3 linked regions of the Ovis aries genome follow. The protein of the gene in region 3 interacts with the protein of the main gene of each other region in a biochemical or structural test. Links are inferred from orthologs where the notes say so. Each region holds a gene or a part of one and is shown on either strand. Other genes may lie near its edges. The genes, in order: BIRC2, RNF168 and UBE2D1.

Region 1 (10,659 bases), on a different chromosome or scaffold from region 3:
GAAAGACTTAATATATCCAAGTGCTAAAAGAAAAACAAATGCCAACCAAGAACACTGGAAAATTAAAAATGAAGGTAGTCTTGTTCAGGCTTCAGAAGTAGGGGAGCATACCTCTAACCGACTTCTAACCTTGCCTGGACTACATGCCTGCCTGCATGCATGAACATCAATCATTACCAGCAAGTCAAGCAGCACTTCAGGTAAGAAAGGGAGTGGGTCTTGGATTTTTTTTTAATGAGTACTTTATGTTTGATTATTTATTTATTCATTTATTTGTTTTTGGTTGCACTGGGTCTGTTTGCTGCACAGGCTTTCTCTAGTTGCAATGTGCAGGTTTCGCACGGGCTCAGTAGCTATAGCATATGGGCTTAACTGCTCTGCAGCATGTGGAATCTTCCCAGACCAGGGATTGAACTGGTGTCCCTGCATTAGCTGGTTGATTCTTAACTACTGGACCACTAGGGAAATCCAGCCTTAGAATTTCTTAAGCCGCGGGAACCTACTCAGGCCCCCAGAGTCTAAAGAACTTTATGACTCACAAGATGAAACAAACAGCATTGTAAAAGTTAAAGAAAAACCTGAACTGCATTTTTGCATGCAAACTGTTATCAGTTTGTGGCCTAGGATCATAAGCAGGACCTCCCAAAGCTGCAATCTGAAGTCTGGCCTGTGTGGTGGATGTACTGACAGGACCCTTTCCCAGTTAGGACTCTAGACTGCTGTTACATGGGACTTCCAGCACTGTTCAATACTAGATTAACGTGGGTATTGGCCCAATGTAGAGATGTATATTGGAGAAGGCAATGGCATCCCACTCCAGTACTCTTGCCTGGAAACTACCATGGATTGAGGAGCCTGGTAGGCTGCAGTCCATGGGGTTGCTGAGTCAGACACGACTGAGTGACTTCACTTTCACTTTTCACTTTCATGCATTGGACAAGGAAACGGCAACCCACTCCAGTGTTCTTGCCTGGAGAATCCCAGGGATGGCGGAGCCCAATGGGCTGCCGTCTGTGGGGTCGCACAGAGTCGGACACAACTGAAGCGACTTAGCAGCAGCAGCAGCAGAGATGTATATGCTATTATTTCTGCTTACTGTTTCTATTTCTTTTCTTTTAATGACTGTACACTGAAATAAAGCCAAATTAATTATTGAATATTAAATATTGAAACTGCTTATTTGTGTGTAACAAGCAGTTTCTTTTGTTAACGAATCCTTTGAAACCAAAATAAAGTACAACTTTCAGCAAAACAAATACTGGCAAAATTGTCCTTCAGAAATGAAGGAAAAATAAAGACATTCCAATCAAACAGAAGTTGAGAGTTCATGAATATGAAACCTGTTTTACAAAAAATGCTAAAATGATTTCTTCAAGTTAAAATGAAGAGACCTTAAGTAATAACATGAAAACATATAAAAGTATAAAACTTAACTGGTAAAATTAAGTATGCAGGTCAAATTCAAAACACACTATACTGTAATTGTATGTCTAGTGTAAGTTAAAAAAATAGTAATACATTTTGCACAGCAAAGGAAACCATAAACAAAACAAAAAGACAACCTACAGAATGGGAGAAAATATTTGCAAAGTGACTGACAAGGGATTAATCTCCGAAATATACAAAGAGTTCATGCAGCTCTATGTAAAAACAACAAACCCAATCAAAAAGAGACAGAAGATCATCTAAAGACATACAGATGGCCAAAAGGCACATGAAAGGATGCTGAGCATCACCAGTTATCACAGAAATAGAAATGAAAACTACAATGAGGTATCACCTCACACTGGTCAGAACAGCTAATAACAAAGTCTACAAAAATAAATGCTGGAGGGGGGGTGAAGAAAAAGAGAACCCTCCTTCACTATTGGTGGGAATGTACATTGGTTATAACCACTATGGAGAACAGTATGGAGGTTTCTTAAAAAACTAAAACTGTAACTACCGTATGACTCAATAATCCTACTCCTGGGCATATATCTGCAGAAAACCATAATTCAAAAACCTCAACTGTTCACTGCAGCACTATTTACAATAGTCAAGACATTGTTGTTTAGTCACCAAGCTGTGTCCAACTCTTGTGACCCCATAGACTGTAGTCCTCCAGGCTCCTCTGTCCATGAGATTTCCCATGCAAAAGTTCTGCTGGAGTGGGTTGCCATCTGCTTCTCCAGGGAATCCTCCCAACCCAGGGACTGATCAAATCCACACCTCCTGCTTTGCAGGTGGATTCTTTACCACTGAGCCACCTGGAAAGCCCAGCCAGACATGGAAGAAACCGAAATGTCCACTGACAGAGGATATAATGGAATTCACTCAGCCACAAAGAAAGAACGAAATAATGCCATTTGAAGCAACATGAATGGACCCAGAGATTAACAAACTAAGTCAGACAGAGAAAGACAAACATATGATATTGCTCATATGGGATATCTAAATGTTTTTTAAAAATGATTTAAATTAACTTACAAAACAGAAACAGACTCATAGATTTCAGAAACCAACCTATGACTGCCAAAGAGGAAACTCTGGGGAAAGGGATAAATTAGGAGCATGGGATTATCATACACACACTACTATATAAAAAAGAGATAACCAACAAAGACCTATTGAATAGCACAGAAAACTCTACTCAATATTCTACTACAAACTATATGGGAAAGGAATCTGATAAAGAATGAATATATAGTATCACAGAATCACTATGCTGTACACCTAAAACTACATAACACTGTAAATCCACTATATTTCAATAAAATTTTGTTTAAAAAGGAGTACTATAGAAAAATACAGAAAAATAAAAAACAATACTAACAACTACAACTCCAGTAATTCGTTACTAGATGCGGAATAAAAAGAGATATAAAGTAGGACATCAATAGTGTAAAACATGGGGTAAGGATACGTAAACTGTAGAGTTTCTCTAAACGATTGAAGATAAGTTGTTATCAGCTTAACACAGGCTATTATATCTGTAAGATATTTTATGTAAGCGTCATGGTAAACACAAAGAAAAAACCTACAGTAGATACAGAAAATACAATAGAGAAATTAAAGTACACTACTACAGAAATTAAGTCAGAGATAAAGACAGCCAAGAGAAGAAATGAACAAAGGAATTAAAAGAAAAAAAAAATAGAAAACAATTAACAAAAACACAGCAAAAAGTCCTTATATATCAGTAACTATTTTAAATGTAAATAGACTAAATTCTCCATCAAAGACACAGAATGGCTGAATGGATTTAAAAACCCCATAAGATCTAACAGTATGCAGCTTACAAAAGAATCACCTTAGCTTTAAGGACACAGAAAGACTTGAAGCGGAAAGATATAAAAGGCTGAAAGTGAAAAGATTAAAAAGTTCTATGCAAATGATAATCAAAAGTGATGGGGAGTTGCTCTACTTACATAAAGTAAAATAAACTTTCAGTCAAAATTAGTGCTAAGAGACAAAGAAAATCACTATACACAGTGATGAAGGGGTCAACTCATCAAGAATACATAAAACAATTGTAAACTTATATGCAACAACAACACTGGCACATCTAAATATCCAAAGCAAGTATTAGCATAACTAAAGGGAGAAATACAGAGGAATATGATAATAGAAGGGAACTTCAATATCCCACTCCCAACACTGGTTAGATCATCCAGACAGAAAGTTACTAAGGTAACAGCAGACTAAATAACACTTTACACTAAATGCCAGATGTAGCTAAAATTATAAACTATAATCAGAATATGTATTTCCTACCCTTGCACTAAAATACTACATACCAGGCAAATACTTTTCTAGCCCAATTCTCAAATCATGTAACCTGGCCCTTTCCAAACATGATAGTTTATACCAAATTTTCCCTCTTTGGAGGGCTTACTATTTGCTCCTCTCATTTGGTATTCCTATTTTGTCTCCCCAATTAGAATATAAGCACTTTAAGAACAAAAACTAGAATACTTCCAAGAATCCTCTAAAAATGTCATGAATCTTAGAAGATAGATGTGTGTGTATGTGCTCAGTCGCTCAGTCATGTCCGACTCTCTGCAACCCCATGGACTGCAGCCTGCCAGGCTCCTCTGTCCATGGAATTCTCCAGGCAAGAATACTGGAGTGGGTTGCCATTCCCTTCTCTAGAGGATAGAAAACGTACATAATATTTATTAGCTAACTTCTTAGCACTTTTTTCTATAACCCTAGAAATCCTTTATATACAAACTTTTATTTTCAATACTCTTAAATCCTATTCTTTATTCGGGATATTTTCATACATACTTGGTGGATCAGCATTTTCATCTCCAGGAGTATTTGCAGTTGACAACAGCTATGAAACAGGACAAAAAAAAAAAAAAAAAAGGTAAAATCCAGAATCTCAAACAATCTGAGCATAGCAACATTAAGGTAAGTTTATCTTAAGTACTATGCACATGCTTTGAAAACTGGGTAGTTTACATACTGCACTTTGCTATGCTTTATCTTAATCACCATAAAATATTTCCTTAAACTTCAGTTAATTCCATATTAGAATTTAAGTATCAGGAAAGCAGGAAAAAGTATTAATGGTTTCTCATTCCACTTAGAAAGTTGTATTTCAGCTTAACCACTCTCTGAGGTTCCAAATTCCTAAAAAGTTATTTTTTGTTTATTTTTCTCAAAAAGACGGAGTAGATACTAAAGACTCTTCTCCAACCCTACCACAAATCTGTACAGGGGCAGGTTATGTGACTTTTCAAAAAACTAAAAAATAGTTTTTAAAAGCCATGAACAGACAAGGTAGTCTGAAAATAAAACTTAAAAGTGTCATTAAGATGGACATAAAACATATAACTATAATTAACTTTAAAAAGATATAAAGATCACTTTTAATCATATTTTGTAATTGTTATCTAGGAGAATCCAATGTTGCCAATTATAAAAACATATTTACCTGTTCAAGAAGATGAGGATATCTAGCTTGAATCTCACTAACAAACTCCTGCCCTTTCATGCGTATCAAGAACTCACACCTAAAACATAAAAGGAAAATTTTTAAAATTCTTTTATGCCAAAAATATACTCTGATCATTCTAGAAATGCGGTTTTCAAACTCTTGGACTATATCCCATAGTACAAACATTTTACATCACAACCTAGTACACATATACACCTAACAGAAACAAAATTCTCATAAAACATCACAAATTTTTACTATGTATTGATACATTCTGATTTTTTTAATTACATTAATACAACAATAAAGGAGTCTGGACCTCAAAGGAGAAAAAGCTAAGACTTAGAAAATGCTGTTCCAGACAATTTACTTTGCGAGTTTAACATAAGTTTCAGGAACTGTAATGTGGTATGCCTAAAATATGATCTTTCACAAAATGACTGCTAATCTTTCTCCACTGTCCACTCTTCCATTATACAGAAAGCACAAATCCCCTAAAAAAATAGAGTATCAAGTATTTTCATCTATATATACTGTGACAGTGTTTCCCAAATACTTGCTTTCAAATTACTAGAATTTCTCAATGGTTATTCCAGGAAGTTCATATAACATTTGTTTCTATTTCTTCCCTTTTGATTTTTCAACAAATGGACATAGACAACTCAATATTCATAAATATTAGCCTTTATCTATGTCCATACTGTACACAGAAACAAACTAAAAATGGACCAGATGCTTAAATACAAAACCTAAAACAATATAACTTCTAGAAGAAAACACAGGAGACAATCTTTTTGTCCTTAGGTTAAGTAAAGATTTCTTAGCTAATAAACCAACAGCATAATCCATAAAAGATAAATTGATAAACTGACATCATCAAAATTAAAAACTCCTGCTCATCAAATACACTGTTAAAAAGATAAAAAAGAAAGTCACAGACTGAAATGTTCCAGAACACACCTGATGCAGAACCTGTATCTAGAATACATTAAGAACTCTCAAAACCTAGCAATTAAAAAAAAAAAACAACTTCTTGAAAAGAGACACTTCATCAAAGAAAACACAGTTCCAAGAATGAAGAACCCACAGATACAAAGGGCTGACTCTACTATGTCTTATGAGGAACTTGAGCACCCATGGATTTTGGTTTCTTGAGGGGAAACCCTGGGAGTGTCCTGGAACCAATTCCTTGCTGACACTGAGGGACAACTTATATAGACAACAAATAAACATCATTAATCACTAAGGAAATGCTAATTAAAATCACAGTGAAATACCACTACACATCTATTAGAATGGCTAAAATAAAAAAGATACTACCACATGTCATTAAGAATCTGGAATACTTGGAGGTCTCATACATTCCTGGTGTGAATTTAAAATGATACAGCCACTTCAGAAAACAATCTGGTAGTTTCTTCTAAAGTTACAATGGTAAATAAAACTTGCCATCCAACCCACTAATCCCAATTCTAAGTATTTAAAGTATTTACCTAAATGAAATGAAAACAAGTTCACAAAGGTTTACTAATTTTTAGAGTGGCTTTACTCATTATTGCTCCAAAATGGAAACAACCCAATGTCCTTCAGGTGGTGACTGAGGTAGATTTAGTAGAGATCATGTAAACATGCTCATGACTCAAGTCATCATGCCGAGAACACAGCTTGTTCCTGATCTTAATATAGGTCTAAATTATTTTTATTCTGGGATTAACTTATAATGATTAAAGATAGGAAGTATACTGAACATTGGCTGCTCCATATTTCCTCCTTCCAATAAATTCTATGAGGACTAAGATTTCTGTCGTATCTTATTCACTGTTAATATCTCCAGCATCTAAAGTAGTATTCACAAGCATATAGGGAAATAGGTGAAAGTGATTTAGATATAAAATTCAATGATAAAATAAATAAGCCATGGGGACATAATATACATACAGCAAAAACAATGTGGTTAGAAGCAATTATGACTTTGTTGTTGAAGTGTTAGTCGCTCAGTCGTGGCCGAGTCTTTGTGAACTCCATGGACTGTAGCCCGCGAGGCTCCTCTGTCCATAGAGTTCTCCAGGCAAGAATCCTGGAGTGGGCAGACATTCCCTTCTCCAGGGGATCTTCCCCACCCAGAGATCAAACCCAGGTCTCTTGCATTACAGGCAGATTCTTTACTGTCTGAGTCACAAGGGAAGCCAAAAGCAATTTTTATACTTCAAAGAAAAAAAAAAATTTTAATATGGTCAACAATATTGCAATAACTGTATAGGGGCAGATGGTTACTAGGCTTATCATGGTAACAACATTATATATGCAAACATCAAATCAGGACACAGCACACCTGAAACATATTATGTATGTTAACTGTATTTCAATTTTTAAAAAATGATATTAGAAGGGGGAAAAAAAGATCATCATGATTTTCCACTGTTACTTCTAACTACTTATTCCTAAGACTCTTGCCACCAGATAATGCTGTGACTATCATGAATTATCATGCTCAATCAACAGGATCCCAGTATTCTTACTGGTCTGCTGCAAAATCAGCCTTTATCTACCAGTTTCAACCTCATATGTAATAACAGTACCACAATTTTTGCCTTTCTCTTTAATTTGGTTCTTCTTCGTTTTGCTTTGGATTGACTTTTCATTTGATTCCACACTGTCGTGTAAATATTAGTAATTATGAAAAAGGAAATTCTTTTGAATGATTATGAATAAAAATGTTAAGAGAGAAATAACATCAGAGGGAGAGGGAGAGGGTGGGATGATTTGGGAGAATGGGAATTCTAACATGTATACTATCATGTAAGAATTGAATCGCCAGTCCATGTCTGACGTAGGGTGCAGCATGCTTGGGGCTGGTGCATGGGGATGACCCAGAGAGATGTTGTGGGGAGGAAGGTGGGAGGGGGGGTCATGTTTGGGAACGCATGTAAGAATTAAAGATTTTAAAATTAAAAAAATAAAATTAAATTAATTTTAAAAAAAGAAAAAATAATAATTTTTAAAAAAGAGAGAGAAATAACAGAAGTAAAATAGTAGCTAGTAGGCATACAAATATTTAATAAGTGAATAAATAAACTGTGTTAAAAATACAATGATAATGATTATCCACTTTGGATTTTCATTTTCTGAGATGAAAGACTATCCACAATTGAAATTTGTTGTTTTCAGAAGTGTTTACAAAAAGTACTTCTGGCCTTTTCCCTTATGTAACCATTTCAAGCAAAACACTAATTACAGAAGTAAACCAAGATTTTGTTTGGTCTTGTTTTCTAAAGGAAAAATTATAGCAAATGAAACACTGTTAATCAGAAAGCTGTTTTTGTCTTTTTAATATAGTATTAAATTCCAAATTACAGAATAAGCCAATCTCGTAGAGCCAAGGACAATCAAGTCATTTAAAATTCTGACAACTGGGAATTTCCTGGTGGTCCAGTAGTTAGGACTTGGTGTTTTCACTGCTGTTGCCCAGGTTCAATCCCTGAATAAGGACTGAGATCCCAGAAGCCACACAGAGACGCCAAAAATAAATACAATTATGACAATAAAACATGATTTTTCCTAAAAAAAAAAAATTTAGAGATTCCTCATTATTAGGAAAGTCACTCACCAGTCGAAACATTATCTATATGATATGATTCCACTCTTATAAAGTACCTAAAATAGTTGAATTCACAGAGACAGAAAGTAGAATGGTGGTTGCCAGGGGCTGGGAATATAAGGAATTAATGAAATGAATACAAGATTCAGTTTGGGAAGATAAAAAATGTTTGGAAATTGACAGTAGTAATGAATGAGGAATAAGGTGAATGTACTTAATGCCACAAAACTGTATACTTAAAAATGGATAAAATAGCAAATTTTATGTTATGTACATTTTATAATTTTTTAAAAAGACAGTATTACCTATTCCAAATTCCTCATTTTATAGATGAGGAAAGGCTCAAAGGGGTCACATGACTTGTCCAAGTTCATACAACTACTCAATAACATTCCACCCACAGCACTGCCTCTAAATTCTTTCCAGGCTATAGTAAAAAAAAAAATAGGACATACTGGTAGAAACAGAGTGACTAAAGAGAGATACATGACATATCACAAAAAGATAAAACTGTACAGAAAAAAATAATTTACAATTATAATCACTTAAAACTGATTATACAATTAGGTTTTTATTATATGCATTTTTATATTTGTCCTATTCCTAGATTCATTTAATGTCCCTTGTTTTTCTTTTTCCTTATCTTTTCCTAATGTATCGCCTTTTTGCTCTACTTTACATATTTTTATAATACTTTAAACAAAATGGAAAATACATAAATGTAATGTATGGCCACAACTGTGAATGAGGCATCAAGAATAAGTTAAATTATATCCTGAACACATGGTTTATAAAAGAAAAAAATCACAGAATATTCTACATTTTTCTACCAAAATAACTGTTACAATTTGGTGTCTTAAAAGGCTAATTCTCTAATGGTATAAAGAAGCTTTCTTATACTGAAATGTAAACTTAAAATACACAAACATGCCTACATCTTTTACACACAGAGTTGTATATACAAATACCTTTCAAAACAATTACCTTGGAAACCATTTGGCGTGTTCTACCCATGGGTCATCTCCAGATTCCCAACACCTTAAGCCACCATCACAACAAAAGCACTTGACATCATCATTGCGACCTAAAGAAAACACAAGAATAACTGAATACACACGTGTTCTAATATATTAATCAAAATGAACTAGATAAAACATACAGCTATACATTCTCTTACCTACATAATAGAAACCAGCACTTGCAAGCTGCTCGGGCTGAACTGGTACAGTAGATGGCCAGTACATAAATGTTCTCAGGCGAGCTGCATGTGTCTGCATACTCAAATTGGAAATGCTGAACCTCAGCGTTCCCAGAGAATTTTCCAAAAATGGACAGTTGGGAAAATTTCTCTGGTGTTCTAACATAGCATCATCCTTTGGTTCCCAGTTATTTAGCGTCCCACCACAGGCAAAACAGGCTACCCTGTCTCCAGGTCCTATATAATAAAAGCCAGCTCTTGTCAATTCTGACGGTGACAGAAAGGTTAATGGCCACATTTGATAAGTAAGAAATCTCGCTTCTTCAGTACTCATGGCATAACTGTAGGGGTTAGTCCTCAGTGGGGAAAAGTCTTCGACTGCTCGAGAATTAATAGGGTTTGGTGAAAGGTTGGAATAAGAACCACTGAATGATCTACCATGTTCCAAAGTGGGTGATAATGAGTGAGTAAAACTGTTTCTCATTGGAGAAGAAGCATTCTTAGAAGTGGATTCCAGACTAGTAACAGAAACTAGATTCTGAACAAAGCTACAGCTCGGATACAGTTGTTTATGCTTCTCAATAGGATTGTCTCCTTGTTTCCAGTTATCCAGCATCAGGCCACAACAGAAGCATTTGACCTTGTCATTCACACCAGTATAATAAAAACCAGCACGAGCAAGACTCCTTTCTGAGACAGGAACACCGGTGGGGAAAGTTGAATATGTAGACATTCGGTAGAGCTCACATGAAAAGTCGTATGTCATTTTTTGTTTGTTGCCACTTGTCCAATTTGACAAGACTGTGCTATCTTCCATCACACTCTTAATTTTTCGATACGAGGGATCCAGGACAAGTCTTTGGGAGGTAGTTTTGTGCATGAGTGATTTTTACTTTTTGACAGCAAAAATCCTTTACATGAAATTTTTCTTCTCTT
Region 2 (10,659 bases), on a different chromosome or scaffold from region 3:
CTGAGGCTGAAGTCACTTGTGATCTGGGAGCCGTAACACAGGGAAACTCATGGTCAGGGGCCTCTTCTGACACAGAGCTAAAAATATATCCGGTAAGGGAGAGGTGAGTAGTGTTCACAAGCATACAGAAGGCAACTGCACTTTACTGGATGCTATACATGGGCACTTAAGAGTACACGAAGTCACTGGATAACTGACTCTCCCAATAGTGGGGTTGGATGTAGTGGGACTGGAGGAGAGCCAGGAGAGACACTATCGTTTAAGGTTCTTTGTTGAGTCAGGGCCTGTGCCAGTTGCTCTATTACTTCCCTTAATTCTCCATAGCAACTCTTGGTTACATTGATTCCTGTTTAGAAATTAAGACAGATTAAGTAGCTTGCCTAAGGTCATACAGGTAGAGACCAAGTTAAGAAGGACATTATTTTCTTCCCTCCTGCACCACACGCCCCTTCTTTTGGTGGTCCAAAATTCATGCACAAATTACTACTCCCACAGTTCAGTTCCTTATATGTGAACTAAGGAATCTAAGAGCTATTTAGTTTTAAGTATTTATACCCAGGTGCCCTGCATTGGGAACATGGAGTCTTAGCCACTGGACCACCAGATAAGTCCCTCTAGGAGTCTGTTTAAAGCCATTCACAGGTCCTCCGAGTATTGCAGAGTGAAGATTTGGCTCCTGGGATTTGGCTCCACAGACTTCTGTGCTGGGGGACTTTCAGCTGAGGCTTCTGGTCTGTTCAACAAGCTTCCTTCCTCTGGTAGGTCCTGAATTCTGTTCTGTCTCATCTGCAGTGTGAGCCTGATGACTCCTCTCTGCTTTTCAAAGGTTTTTAGCCTTTTAGCCTCTGCTCTTAACAGTTTCAAAACTGTAGTTATCTTGATGAGAAAGTGTAACTTGTGTTTGATGATGATGACCTTCAAGTCTCTAAAAACTCCAGCTTCATGAGCTGGCCAAGAGTTCTGCCAGTAGAGCAGACCTGTTCACCAGAAGTCCTCATTCTCATTCTGCATTCAGAATAGGCACACACTACAAGTGGAAGAAGGGTTTCAAGCATCAGTTCACCTCTCAGGTCTCCCCTCTCTAGAATCTTAGCCCCTAACTTAGTCCTCATTGTTTCAGTAGCTTTCTGATGTTTTTAAGTAGAACACTGTATACTTTTATCTGGCTCTTCTCATTGTCTTCAGCAAGACTGCAGGTCTACAGCATTGCTACCTGAAAAGCATAAGCTTTGCTTCTCAGATAATTTAAAAATAGTACATTCAAGCTAAATATATTCATTCACAATGGTATTTGCGAAAACGGTTAACTTTTCATGTTGAAAACTCTTCCTAAATTATGATTCTTAGAATTTAAAGGAAAAAAGAACTGTCTAGAGTGGTATAGGCTTAGATGCATAAATAGCCTTAATCTTATAATATTTAAGTTTTGAGTAGATGATACATTCAACATGATTGAAAATTCAAAAAGTAGAAAAACATCTAAACTCACTCTTCCACTTCTGTCTCCCAGCCACCCAGTTTCTTTCCCTGCTGGCAATACTATTTTTCTCTCTTCAGCCAGTTCAATCACTCAGTCCTGTCTGATTCTTTGCAACCCCACGAACAGCAGCACGCCAGGCCTCCCTGTCCATCACCAACTCCCGGAGTCCACCCAAACCCATGTCCATCGAGTCAATGATGCCATCCAACCATCTCACCCTCTGTCGTCCCCTTCTCCTCCTGCCCTCAATCTTTCCCAGCATCAGGGACTTTTCCAATGAGTCAACTCTTTGCATGAGGTGGCCAAAGTATTGGAGTTTCAGCTTCAACATCAGTCCTTCCAATGAACACCCAGGACTGATCTCCTTTAGGATGGACTGGTTGGATCTCCTTGCAATCCAAGAGACTCTCAAGAGTTTTCTCCACCACCACAGTTCAAAAGCATCAATTCTTCAGTGCTCAGCTTTCTTCGCAGTCCAACTCTCACATCCATACATGACCACTGGAAAAACCATAGCCTTGACTAGATGGACCTTTGTTGGCAAAGTAATGTCTCTGCTTTTTAATATGCTGTCATAACTTTACTTCCAAGGAGTAAGTATCTTTTAATTTCATGGCTGCAGTCACCATCTGCAGTGATTCTGGAGCCCAGAAAAATAAGTCAGCCACTGTTTCCCCATCTATCTGCCATTTAGTGATGGGATCGAATGCCATGATCTTCGTTTTCTGAATGTTGAGCTTTAAGCCAACTTTTTCACTCTCCTCTTTCACTTTCATCAAGAAGCTCTTTAGTTCCTCTTCACTTTCTGCCGTAAGGGTGGTGTCATCTGCATATCTGAGGTTATTGATATTTCTCCCAGCAATCTTGATTCCAGCTTGTGCTTCATCCAGCCCAGCGTTTCTCATGATGTACTCTGCATATAAGTTAAATAAGTAGGGTGACAATATACAGCCTTGACATATTCCTTTTCCAATTTGGAACCAGTCTGTTGTTTCATGTCCATTTCTAACTATTGCTTCCTGACCTGCATACAGGTTTCTCAATTCTCTTCTTTGGATAAATAGTTGCACACTATTCTACACTTGTATTTTTTGTTTACTCTATATCTTATAGTGCTTTTAATAACAGTAAAGTCGGGTTTTTTTGTCTAACTGCTGTATAGTATTCCGTTTTACCATCATTTATTGTCTCTTGATATGCTTAAGGTTGTTTCTAACTTGTTATTATAAACAATACCATACAAAAATCTTTTGTGCATGCCATTATACATATGTGTGAAAACAGTAAGAAATTACTAGAGGTAAACTGCCAAGGTTACCTCTTCAGGGCTTTAAAATTTTCTATCATATCAAGCAACATATAAGAGTGCCTATTTCCCTACAGTTTTGCCAAGACTGGAAAAAAACAAACAAACCTATACACAGATAAAAACAAAACCAAAAAAGCACCTTTATCTTTACTAATGAAGGATAGAAAAACATATGAGCATTGGTATAAGTGATATTATGCATCTTTTCACACATTCAAGAGCCATTTGTATTTCCTTTCCTGAGAACTGTTTCTTGGGAACATAAACTTTTCTAATTTTTCTTTTGAGTTGTTAGTCTTTTTCTTAATGTACTGGCAGACACTTTTTATAAAAAGAAATTAGCTTTTTGTGGTGAACTGTATCTACTTTTTCCCTAGTCTTCCATGTCTTCCAGTTTTCCTTTATGGTAGTTTTTACATATAACTTATTTTCATGTTTTAGTTTTTAACTGTGATAAAACATATAGTCCATTTTAATTTTTAATAATTATTTTAATTTTCAGATTTTCAGCCTCTGCACAGTTCTAGCACTCCTTGAGAAATTAAACACTCTCATATCCCTTCCACAAAAATGGAAGGAAAAGTATCAATACATTCTAATGACACGAAATATTTACTAGTTTCTCACAAAGATGCATACATGCTAGGAGTATCAGAAAGACTAAGAAGTTAAAATTTGTGTTAAAACCAATTTTAGTCAGGAAGACTTTTCACAGACAAATAAGTGGTTATATATGTAAATCCTAAATACATTATACTATTTTTCTCCCTTTTTGGTTATGGACTATTCCAGGAAGATTTAACTGTATAACTTTTATTTGAGGAATCCCTAAAAGGTAAAGCAAAATTGGTCTTAAAAAATATTGGTTTGATGAAAAGATTTTAGTCTACTTTAGAAAAATTTGGTTAGTTTCTAAGTACACTTCATTTCAGTACAATCATTACTCAGGAGACAATCATTTTTGAGAAAGGGCAAACTAAATTTTAAGTTAGCATCAGGATTCTACCCATAATTAATCAATATCGAAGGAGATGCCATCAGGTGCAGATTACAGAATTTTGGTTACAAAATTTGGAGGAAAAAAAAAATCAATGTCCAAAAGCACTGATAAATTTAAACTACAATTATTAACTCTAGGACATTTTATTATGTCATTACCTTAATAGGATGGTTAACTAGACATCCATCAGAAATGCTGTTAAACCTGTTATTTGCTCAAAGTTGTTCATACTACTGAAACAAAAGATCTCTAAGTTAAATTTCATAAAATGAAATTGCTGCCTTCCTTTTTAACTTTTCGGGGTAAGATAGGGCTAAACCCAAGTATCATCCTTTCTATTTTTGTCCATAAACACAAATAACCTAAGGAAATAAACACATGGTTAGTCAGGTTCTACAATATAGGATACTGTGACATAACTTTCCATTTTTTCCTCTGGAAAAGTAGATTAGATAGTATGGTGTGTAAAACTATAAAATCTAAATGTTTCTTGTGTCATTCAGCAAAGAAAGGACGAGGAAGAACACTCTGCCAGACTACACCTGCTACTCCATTCTAGATCCAGCGGTCTGATCATCCCACACTGTTCATCTACCCCTCTAGCCTCATCCCAAAACAAGCTCCTCTGTATCAACAGTCTAGTTTTGTCAACTAAGTACTAATTTTCCAGAAAACCCCGATTTTTCTGATTTAACACTGACCCCAACCCATTTTAAGTCAAAGAAAATATTATAATACTTAATTAAAGCAGAGATGGAAATTAGTGTTATGGAAGATGTATGTCAAGTGCTCTGCAAATATATGGGAAAGCTGCAAGAAAACAGCTTTTAAACCCTGCCTGGATCCCTTAGCTACTTGGTACTAATGTTGCTTTGATCACTAGTCAGGACAAAAAGGGGCTCAAAGGCCATAAAATATGCATTTGGGGGGGAATGCACAGAACTGAAGATTTCCTGGGAGTTGGCATATGCAATTTTATATCCGTAAAGGCTGTCAACCTATACTTAGTACATCAGTTATTTGAAAAAGGAAGGGAGTGGGACTCTTGCTTACAACTGAGTCTGGCAGAAACACATTTGTATATTTCTCCTTTGTAATCACATGCTCCTTTAGTTAGAGACAATGAGTGTGTCCACAGAGCAGAGATAATGAAAAATTTATAAAGAACCTATGATAGAAAGCTTTACAACTCAACCTTACTGGATTATAAAATACTCTTCTTACTCAAGCATTACTTTGTGAATCTCTGAAACATCTGAAAAATACTTTTCTGTGACTTACTAGGCTGTAGGGAATGAGCAGTTTTAGGTACATTACAATTATCTCTAGTAGAATTTGCTACCTTTCTTCCATTAACTGAACATTTCAACTGGATCTTAAAAGAAGGTTGCCGATGGTTTTCATTTTTTGAGTCGGTCTGAGGTTTTGGCTGCTCTAGCTCAGTTTGTCTTTTGGAGTTTCTGTCTCTGGAATTCTTTCTCTGTCCATTTAGTACTTTGTCTGGAGGTGAGGACACAGTCCGTAGCTGATATCCATCTGGGGATCCTTTTTGCCGGTCTGGCCTTATTTGCTCTTGATCCACCTCTTCCTGAAGTTGTAATGCTAATAACCTGTCCTGCTTTTCTTGCTTATGTCTCTCATAAAGTAGATGTTCCAAATCTATCAGTTTTTGGGTCAAGCTGATTTCTGTTTCCTCTTGGTCTGAGGAGGCTTTGGGGAACGTTTTCTTTCTTTTTGCAGAAAAGCATGGCTCTCTGATTGCTTCAGACAAAGGTTCTAGGTTTCTTCTTTTGGAGGTACCTTTACTGATCGGTAGGTGGGACTCTTCATTTTCTGTCCCAACCGTGTTGTTTCTAAGGAACTGTGTCGTATCTGTTACAGTACACTCACTCTCTGTTTCACCACGTGCCTCAGTGGCAGCATCTCCAGAGTAGGGAACTCTGGCTTTAGGTTCCTCGAGACTTATGACACATAACCCTTTTTCACGATTGCTTGGTCCTGTTTCAACTTTTCCTTCAAGGCACCATTCTCCACCACTGGTACATAACTGAGGCATAGGTGACTCCACTGAAGATTTTGCATCTTCTTCCTGAACTGCAAGATATATTTGAGGAGAAAGCGTTGGCATATCTTCTTCAACATCTGTGTCTTGCCATGTAGGGCTCTTCACATCACTGTTGTCGTCAATTTTCTGTAGAAAACAGAAAAAGACTGAATGAACCAAGGGAAACCATCAAGTCATAACATATAAGTCTTATTACACTGACACCAAAACTGAGTTGTCACTATATACTATAATTACCTGATTATCACTACTACTAAGATATATTAGTTTTTAATAGTATTTTTATTCTGTGTGCCAACTTAAGGTATTTCTTCATTTTCACTCCCATGAAAACCTACAGCTCAAAACCCACAAGCCAGTTTTATATATGGCCAGCAGCTGGCACCATGACTTGACCTTTCATCTTTTAAACTTCCTCCAACCCAGGGACTTTTAATACCTTTTTGTGTCACAAACCCTCTTCCTTTTGGCATTTTTGTGAAGCTGACAGACCTCTTCTGAGAATAATATTTTAAAACATAAAAATAAATACATAGGGATCAATTTATATTGCAACATAATTATTAAAATCTTGTGATATAATAATGCATATCATTAATACATTAAATAATAAGATCTAGTAACAAGTCTAATAATTTGTAACTCTGAAGGAGGGATGAGTATAAATGTTTTAAGAGATCTACAACAAATGTAATATGTTATTGGTGACAAAGACACAGGTACTGTTGACAGTATTATGGTTTGCTGCTTATATTCATGACTATGTTGCTAAGTCGCTTCAGTCATGTCCAACTCTGTGCGACCCCACAGACGGCAGCCCACCAGGCTCCCCTGTCCCTGGGATTCTCCAGGCAAGAATACTGGAGTGGGTTGCCATTTCCTTCTCCAATGCATGAAAGTGAAAAGTGAAAGTGAAGTTGCTCAGTCGTGTCCAACTCAGCAATCCCATGGACTGCAGACTACCAGGGTTCTCCGTCCATAGGATCTTCCAAGCAAGAGTACTGGAGTGGGCTGCCATTGCCTTCTCCGATTCATGACTACAGGAAACACTAAAATGAGAGGTCAGGTGGAAGATAAACTTTTTCTTCTATCCAGGTTCATATTTACTCTATGGATTCTACCCACAGACCTTAGGTTAAGAACCCTTGCTTTAGCCAGTGTAACTCTTCTCACTTACAGGTCTTGGGTAAATTAAGATCTAGGATTAGTTTTGACCATGGGAAAGCCTTAAGAAAGGCTTCAATGAGAATTTGCTTCAAGACAAGTTATTTATTGTTCAAGATCTTAACTCTGTTCTTTTACCTACTTTGCTTTGCATTTATTGTTCCTCATAACATTTCTTGTGAACCAATGTAGTCTGGGTTGGACAAATTCTAAACTGCCTACCACGTTTTGCTGTGAGTATTAATATCAGGATAGGGAGAAAAAAATTCCCAGCCTTCAATGCCTCCTTCCATCAATCGTTAGCCCCAGCATAAGCCAGACTATCTGGACTTGAATTTCCCTCTATTACTTCTACTTAAGAGACTCTTTATGGCTCAGCTGGTAAAGAATCTGCCTGAAATGTGGGAGGCTTGGGTTAGATCCCTGGGTTGGGAAGATTCTCTGGAGAAGGGAATGGCTGCCCACTCCAGTATTCTGGCCTGGAGAATTCCATGGATTTGTACAGTGTATGGGGTCACAAAGAGTTGGACATGGCTGAGTAACTCTCACTTTCACAGGACTCTGAGCAATTCTCTAGCCTCTGCATGCCTCGGTTTTCTCAATTATAATTGGACACAAGGATACCTTACAGAATTGGTGGTTGTGATGAAGATTAAAGAAAATATATACATTTTTGGGCACCTAAATGTCCATTAAGTGTTAGGTACTATAAAACCACCTACCTGAATTGAAAAAAACTTATGAACCTATTAACAAAACTTTGGTTAACAAACCTTCTATGTAGGCATTGATCTTGGTGTCAGCTCATTTTTTCTAGTGCTATTTTCCTGGAAATATGATAGAGGTGGAATGTCACTTGTGTCACTAGACCTCATAGCTTATGATAAAAATGACCCTTATTGTTGAACTGCATTTGTACTAGGAGACCTAGGAGGGATCTTTAACCCCCTACAGGAAGCCAAGGTTCAGGGCTTTGGTAAACGACTTAGAACTCTTTGACTGGCTGTGTTCCTTACCAGGACCTCTGGAAGCTACTCCCATGAGTCGTTACAGTAAATAATTGACTCTTATGGGGCATGGGACTTCTAAATCTTCATGGTGACTACACTCCTCTGCATGGTCTCACTTCCAGGCCATCACTTAGGAGCTCTGCAGTGAGGATTCTTGCTGAACAGATATGCCTGATGCTGCCCTACTAGCACGCTTTATTTCCCATTCTGTTATCTTTTAAGTGAAGCTGGTACCAGGGGTAGCCTATTTAGTTTTGTGAGTCTGATGATCTAGGTTAGGGATCTACAAATTTTGCCCATGGACAAAATCCAACCTGGTGTCTGTTCTTGTAAACAGTTTTACTGGAACAAAAACAAGCTCATTTGTTTACATTTTATTCTGGATGCTTCCACGTGAAAACAAATCACTGAATAGTTGTGACTGAGACCACCTGGGCTATAAAGCCTAAAATATTTACTATCTGGCTTTCTAGAGAAAAAAATCTGCTGACTCCTAGCTTAGGTGAGACTAAGATGATTAAGAAGGTGTATTCCATTTACTACAGTGACTTTTAAAAAAAAAAAGTAGGAAACTATAAGTATTAACGATCTATACCATTAATAAACTTGCCAAGCCAAGAATATCTTTAGCATCCACAAACCTTAGACATGGAGTTTTTTCTGTCTTCCTGTGCAACTTCAGACTGTGATGCTGACCCAAGTTGAGATTTAGGTGACAAATACCTTTAGAAAAAAGAGTTCGAAGTTAATTACACTTCAATAAAATATACATATATATAAAAAAAAAGTTTGCCAAATTTGAATGCTTTGAAACACAAGTGGCATGTATCCAATGAAATAAAGCCAGATTAGCTATTTATGCTTAAAGCTGTCTCACTTGCTACTTGGCTTATTTCTCAGAAAAAGTGCTATTTTATCTCCCTGTCTCAGGTATTTTGGTCTAGCTCTGGAACAAAACTTAAAAGTCCGAGTATTGATATTTTAGTGAAAAACAGGAGAAAAGGAAGCAAAAGTCAAATTTAAATTATTCCTTAATTCTCAAAAGAATCTAAATAGGTAGGTCCTGGCATCAAAACAACCTAAGACTGTACAGTCTTTCCAAAAGTAACGGAAATGACACTTTAAATTAGGAGAAAGAATATGTTAGTTTCTTTTTAATGTCAGAAATTCTACACTTTTTATCTCTGAAAAATGGTCCATGATCAGATTCTTTACCATTTTGGTACAGAGATTTTATTACATACAAATTTATATCAACTATCTGCTTAGAGATATGAGATTTATCAATATGTTAGCATAAGAGCATGTCTCTATCTAAGCATCAGTTTATTCTTGTATTTGTGATACATTTTTGTTTATATATTTCAAAGTATATATTTAGATTCATGAAGATTTATGACAATTATATCCTTTATGTGTGTGCATGCTAAGTTGCTTCTCAAACTGATGTCCAACTCTTTGCGACCCTATGGACTATAGCCTGTCAGGCTCCTGTGTCCAAAGGATTCTCCAGGCAAGAATACTGAAGTGGGTTGCCATTTCCTTCTCCAGGGGATCTTCCTGACCCAAGGATCAAGCCTGTCCCTTTTTATGTCTCCTGCATTGGCTGGCGGGTTCTTCTACCAATAGCACCACCTGGGAAGCCCCCTATATCCTTTATGCTGAATAATATTATATCAATTTGAAATATCCCTGCTTTTCTCTTTTAATGGCTTTTCTCTTGATTTCTACTTTACATAATATCAGCATTAACAATATTGAGGCTACATGTCTGCTTTTTCTCTTAATAGCAACCACCTCTTTTAACACTGCCCTCTCCCTATAAATCTTCATCTCCCTGTCTCAAATTTCCACTATCTCAAATCCTAAATTTCTATGAATTTTGGAAGGGGGTAAATCAGTTGCACATATTTATCTAGTTGAACCAAAAGCCCTTACATGTTTTTGAAGTCTAGATTGTAGTTGATAAACTTCTTCGACTATGAATTACTATGGGAAAGCTTATCAACTTGTCTTGCTGCTAAGAGGGGCACAGTGGGGCAACTAAATTCACTCTACTGTTGACTACCTGACTCATGTTTTTTGTACAGTAGGGAAGAAAAGTAATATATAAACTGGGAAAAACAGAGTGGGGTAAGATCTAGATGCCAAACTGTAAACTCTTTCAATGAAGATGACCTTATATTGGACTACTTTTTTTTCATTTGAATCCAAACCAAGAGAAGAAGGAATCCAACAGATTGATTTTGAGAAAATGGTACCAACATGGAAATCCTAAGCAGTCAAGATAAAAAAAAGTTTCACATTTCTCTTCATGTTAGCCAGAAATGTAAGCTATGTGAGCATCTCTCTTATTTTCACTTTATATTAATGTCAGACAATCTAGAGGGTTTTCATGCAGAGCTGATGGACCAAATTTTGATACAGCAGTGTTCTATATTCACTTACTTCTGAATATCTCCAGTGTTTGTTTGTTTGTTCTTACTTTTCTTTTGTGATTTAGTTGTGACTGGATCAGATTTTCTGGAATTCAAAGGCGAAGCCAAAACACTTTCCTCACAGAAATTGTTCTTTGACAACAGAAAAAGCATAAAACAATTTTAAAATAAAATAAGCTATTAATTAACTCAG
Region 3 (3,507 bases):
GAAAAACTGTGAAGTCATGACCTTTTTAAAACACGCCAAATCACTTCTTAAGAGATTAACTTGGACAAAGCACTCCACTCGAAACCTCAAGCTCCTTCTCTGAACAACAGTGAGTAGACTAGAATGTCAGTCAGTGGTTCATGACCTTTCTTCCACAGCAGCCCATCTGAGGGACTCACCAGCATCTCTCCATTTACAGCAATGGTTCATTCAGTTCAGTGGCTCAATCGTGTCCAACTCTTTGCGACCCCATGGACTACAGCAGTGGGGATGGTCTGAAATGTCCCATGGTTGATTCTGATGTACTACCCTAGAAGCTGTTCCCCTGCCTTTCACTCTTGAAAGTACTTTAAGGTTCTGCACAGTTCCAAAGCCTGCCACTGTAGGCCCAGGAAAATCGCAACCCAATGACCTTATCTGACAGTGTTACTTTAATACATTTTAAAAGAGAGGCCAAAAGTTAATAACATGGATTCTTTTGTTGAAGCACGGAAGATTCAAAAAGAATTTATATACTGATGATATCAAAGAGGGCTCTGTAACTTAACTGTTCACATGGCAAACAGCATACCTCCCCTGGAATTCACTTCTCATCAAGAAGGTAGTAAAGAAAGAGAAAATGTGGGGAATCAAACAAAATACTTCCTAAAGTTGAGAGTGGTCTGAACAAGTGATCAATGGAAAAGAGATCTGTACAAATCACTTTTTTTTGGTAACAGAGAAGGGGAGCCAAAGATTGACACACAGAGATGGGATGCTATGTCATATCCAATTTTTTTTTTTTTTAACCAGACAACTCTGTTATAAACTAATAACTAATAATGACTAAAAATATGATTTGGGTATATGCCATATTATAAATACAAGCCAAAGACATTGGCTCAGCAAGGAGACTGATACATTGCCCAGGACACTTAACAGTGTCCATTTTCTGTGAATGTTCACTTACTGTCGACAAATTTTACACTATTTGAAGCTACTATACATGTAGTCTTGCAAAAAACTCTTACAACTAGGGAAGAAGGAAATGGAATTTTAAGACTTCCTTGGAAAATGTGTGTTTACCTCAAATGTGAGCCAACATTACATCATCATTTAAAAGTACACAAGGCATGGCAAAGATGCTGAGTGGGGTTTCAAAATTAGAATCATGTATATGAAAAAAAGTGTGTAACTGCATTATCTTCAAATCAGAAAACATAGTAATCAACACATGCTGATTTTAGCTATGTGCTTTACCGTGAGAGTAACCTTAACAGGCACAAAAAATAACAGTATTTCTCAGATCTCGGATCATTTGACCCCTCCCCATCACCACCACCACCAAATTGGCTGGGTCAGAAAGTTGCTGTCCTCTGTACCAGAAGATGACATCAATGGTAACTGAGAATACAATGTATACTTCCCTATCACTGCCTTATTGATTCGTGCCAGAAGAAGTTGATAAAAATTTTTTTTGGTAGTATTTCTTCTGAAATCCTTTAGAAAACATGCTGTCCATCTCTGGCTTAACTTGCTGAACGCATTTCTCATTAAAAAAACAAATTCTCAATGTTCTCCACATGAACCATAACAGTAAAGCCTAAAGCTTGTGAAAGGGAACAGACTAAATAACCCAACAAGAAACAAAAGTGAACAGAAAGAAAACGCCCCAATCTCAGGTCTGTAACATGTTCACATTAGAGACGGTAGCAAAAAGCATTCATGAGAAAACAATTCCTTACACTGAGTTGGGACGGAAACATATTTGTTTAATGTATATAAACATTTCTTCCTCATTCTATACCCATGTGTCAAAGCATGGAACTATCTAATTTGTGACAGTTTCTGTTGTGTCTCAAACTTTACATATAAGTTTATCATGGCGAGAAAAAAAAAAAAAATTGCTTGGCTTGACTCACCATGAATCACAGCCAGGAGGTCATCTTGTTGTGTATCAGCAACTATGTTTTCACTACAGCTATGTGACCTCAAGTGGCAGCAGCAGAGGCACCAAAATAGAAGGGGCAGGAGGCTTCTCCTGGTTTCTCGGTCCCAAATGGGCTTTTCCAGCCCATTCGGGCATCTGAGCAAGAGCCAACCGCAGAGGAGAGAAAGAACAAACCCAACAGCTCCGCGGAGGAAGGTTGCAGGCCCACCACACCTTCCATGCCCTCCCGGGAGCAGGGGAAGGCAAAATCATAAAAGAGGACAGGTTTCAGAAACAGCATGAAGAAAGCAGCATGACAAGGGCCAAAGCTAGCCGGGTGTAAGGCAAAATCCAGTGACCCAGCGGCACATAGGTCTGGAGGTCTGGAGACAGAAGCAGCTCTCCTGCCAGGGATCCCCAGGCGCAGCTCCGGCGTGAGAGCACATCGGGCCCCCTGCCTCCAAGCACCTCCAGCACCCGGGACCTGTCGCTGCTCCCACCTCACCTGTCGGGTGCCCGCTGGCCCGCCGGCGTCTCTGGCCCCCGGTCCCCGCCCTAGCCCATCTTCCCTGCACGCTCCCTCCCGGCGCGTCTCTCGGGACCACCACTGGGGTCAGCGTGCGCGGCGAGCCGAAGCCCGCCCCGCTGCCCCAGGCCCGGCCCCGGCACTCACTTTCTGAATCCGCTTCAGCGCCATCGGTCAGGGAGGGCGGCTGGGACACTGGCCGGCGGGGGACGGCTGCAGGGCTCGGGGGCGTGGGGTAGTGCGGGCTCGGATCGCCGGCTGTTCGGCTGGCTCAGCCGGGTGGGTTCCCGGGTCGCTGCTGTCTGGCTAGCTCTGGGCGCGGGTGCCTGCTCTGAGTGAGCCCGAGCGCTAGTGTGCGAGTGTGCGGGCGGGGACGCCGGCGACACTCTTTTGTTTCCGCTTTTGCTTCTGGGAAGGAATCTGCGGCCGCCCGGCCCCGCCCCCTCCCGCCAAGCGTACTGGGAAATGCAGTTCCTGCATCCTACTCGGCCGCTGCCCGGTTCGGAGACCTTCACCCACTGCCAGGTCTGGGTTAGTCTCTGCAGATGGATTTCGATCAAGTAACTGAAACTGGAGTTCCCAACCTGTAAAATGAGAATAACAAATTAGCTCGAAAAACATGTACCGGATTCTAATGTGTGCTACATCTTGTAATTTTTTTTTCATCTTCCCTTTTTCTGTTACCAAATCCTCTTATCAAGAGTTAGAGTGCCCTAGAGTTCCAATCTCAGACCTCTCGCCATTAATATCTTCCTAGACGACAGACCTAGTGTCCTCCCGTAAACTGGAAGGCCACCCAACATAGCCGGAGAAGCGTGGGGTTTGTGGACTGACCCCTCTCTTGGGATGGAATCCAAGCTCTGATCCCTATCCACTGTATGACCTTGTAGCACTTAAATTCTCTAAGCCTCAGTTTCTGCGTGTCCAAAGAAAAATAATCTCCATATATTATTGTAAGAATTAACTGATATTAATATGATGTGCCAAACACACTACCTAATATGTTGAAAATGCTCTATAAAAATTATTTCCTTGTTTTTATGTATATGATAATGATTTTAAGATCTCTCTT

What was found.
Region 1: the proteins of UBE2D1 (region 3) and BIRC2 form a complex in vitro, tested with the Homo sapiens proteins (11 studies listed by BioGRID). The link is inferred for Ovis aries from reciprocal best matches to the Homo sapiens genes UBE2D1 and BIRC2.
Region 2: the proteins of UBE2D1 (region 3) and RNF168 form a complex in vitro, tested with the Homo sapiens proteins (3 studies listed by BioGRID). The link is inferred for Ovis aries from reciprocal best matches to the Homo sapiens genes UBE2D1 and RNF168.

Annotation. Positions count from the first base shown.
Region 1 is NC_056068.1:6,033,028-6,043,686, forward strand, and holds part of BIRC2 (baculoviral IAP repeat-containing protein 2), read right to left. Parts: 5' UTR 10,604-10,659; coding exon 9,703-10,603; intron 9,610-9,702; coding exon 9,510-9,609; intron 5,004-9,509; coding exon 4,925-5,003; intron 4,322-4,924; coding exon 4,273-4,321; intron 1-4,272. UniProt on the Homo sapiens protein: Multi-functional protein which regulates not only caspases and apoptosis, but also modulates inflammatory signaling and immunity, mitogenic kinase signaling, and cell proliferation, as well as cell invasion and metastasis.
Region 2 is NC_056054.1:191,842,566-191,853,224, forward strand, and holds part of RNF168 (E3 ubiquitin-protein ligase RNF168), read right to left. Parts: intron 10,599-10,659; coding exon 10,477-10,598; intron 8,752-10,476; coding exon 8,670-8,751; intron 5,981-8,669; coding exon 5,021-5,980; 3' UTR 1-5,020. UniProt on the Homo sapiens protein: E3 ubiquitin-protein ligase required for accumulation of repair proteins to sites of DNA damage. Acts with UBE2N/UBC13 to amplify the RNF8-dependent histone ubiquitination.
Region 3 is NC_056075.1:305,094-308,600, forward strand, and holds the start of UBE2D1 (ubiquitin-conjugating enzyme E2 D1), read right to left. Parts: upstream 2,801-3,507; 5' UTR 2,607-2,800; coding exon 2,583-2,606; intron 1-2,582.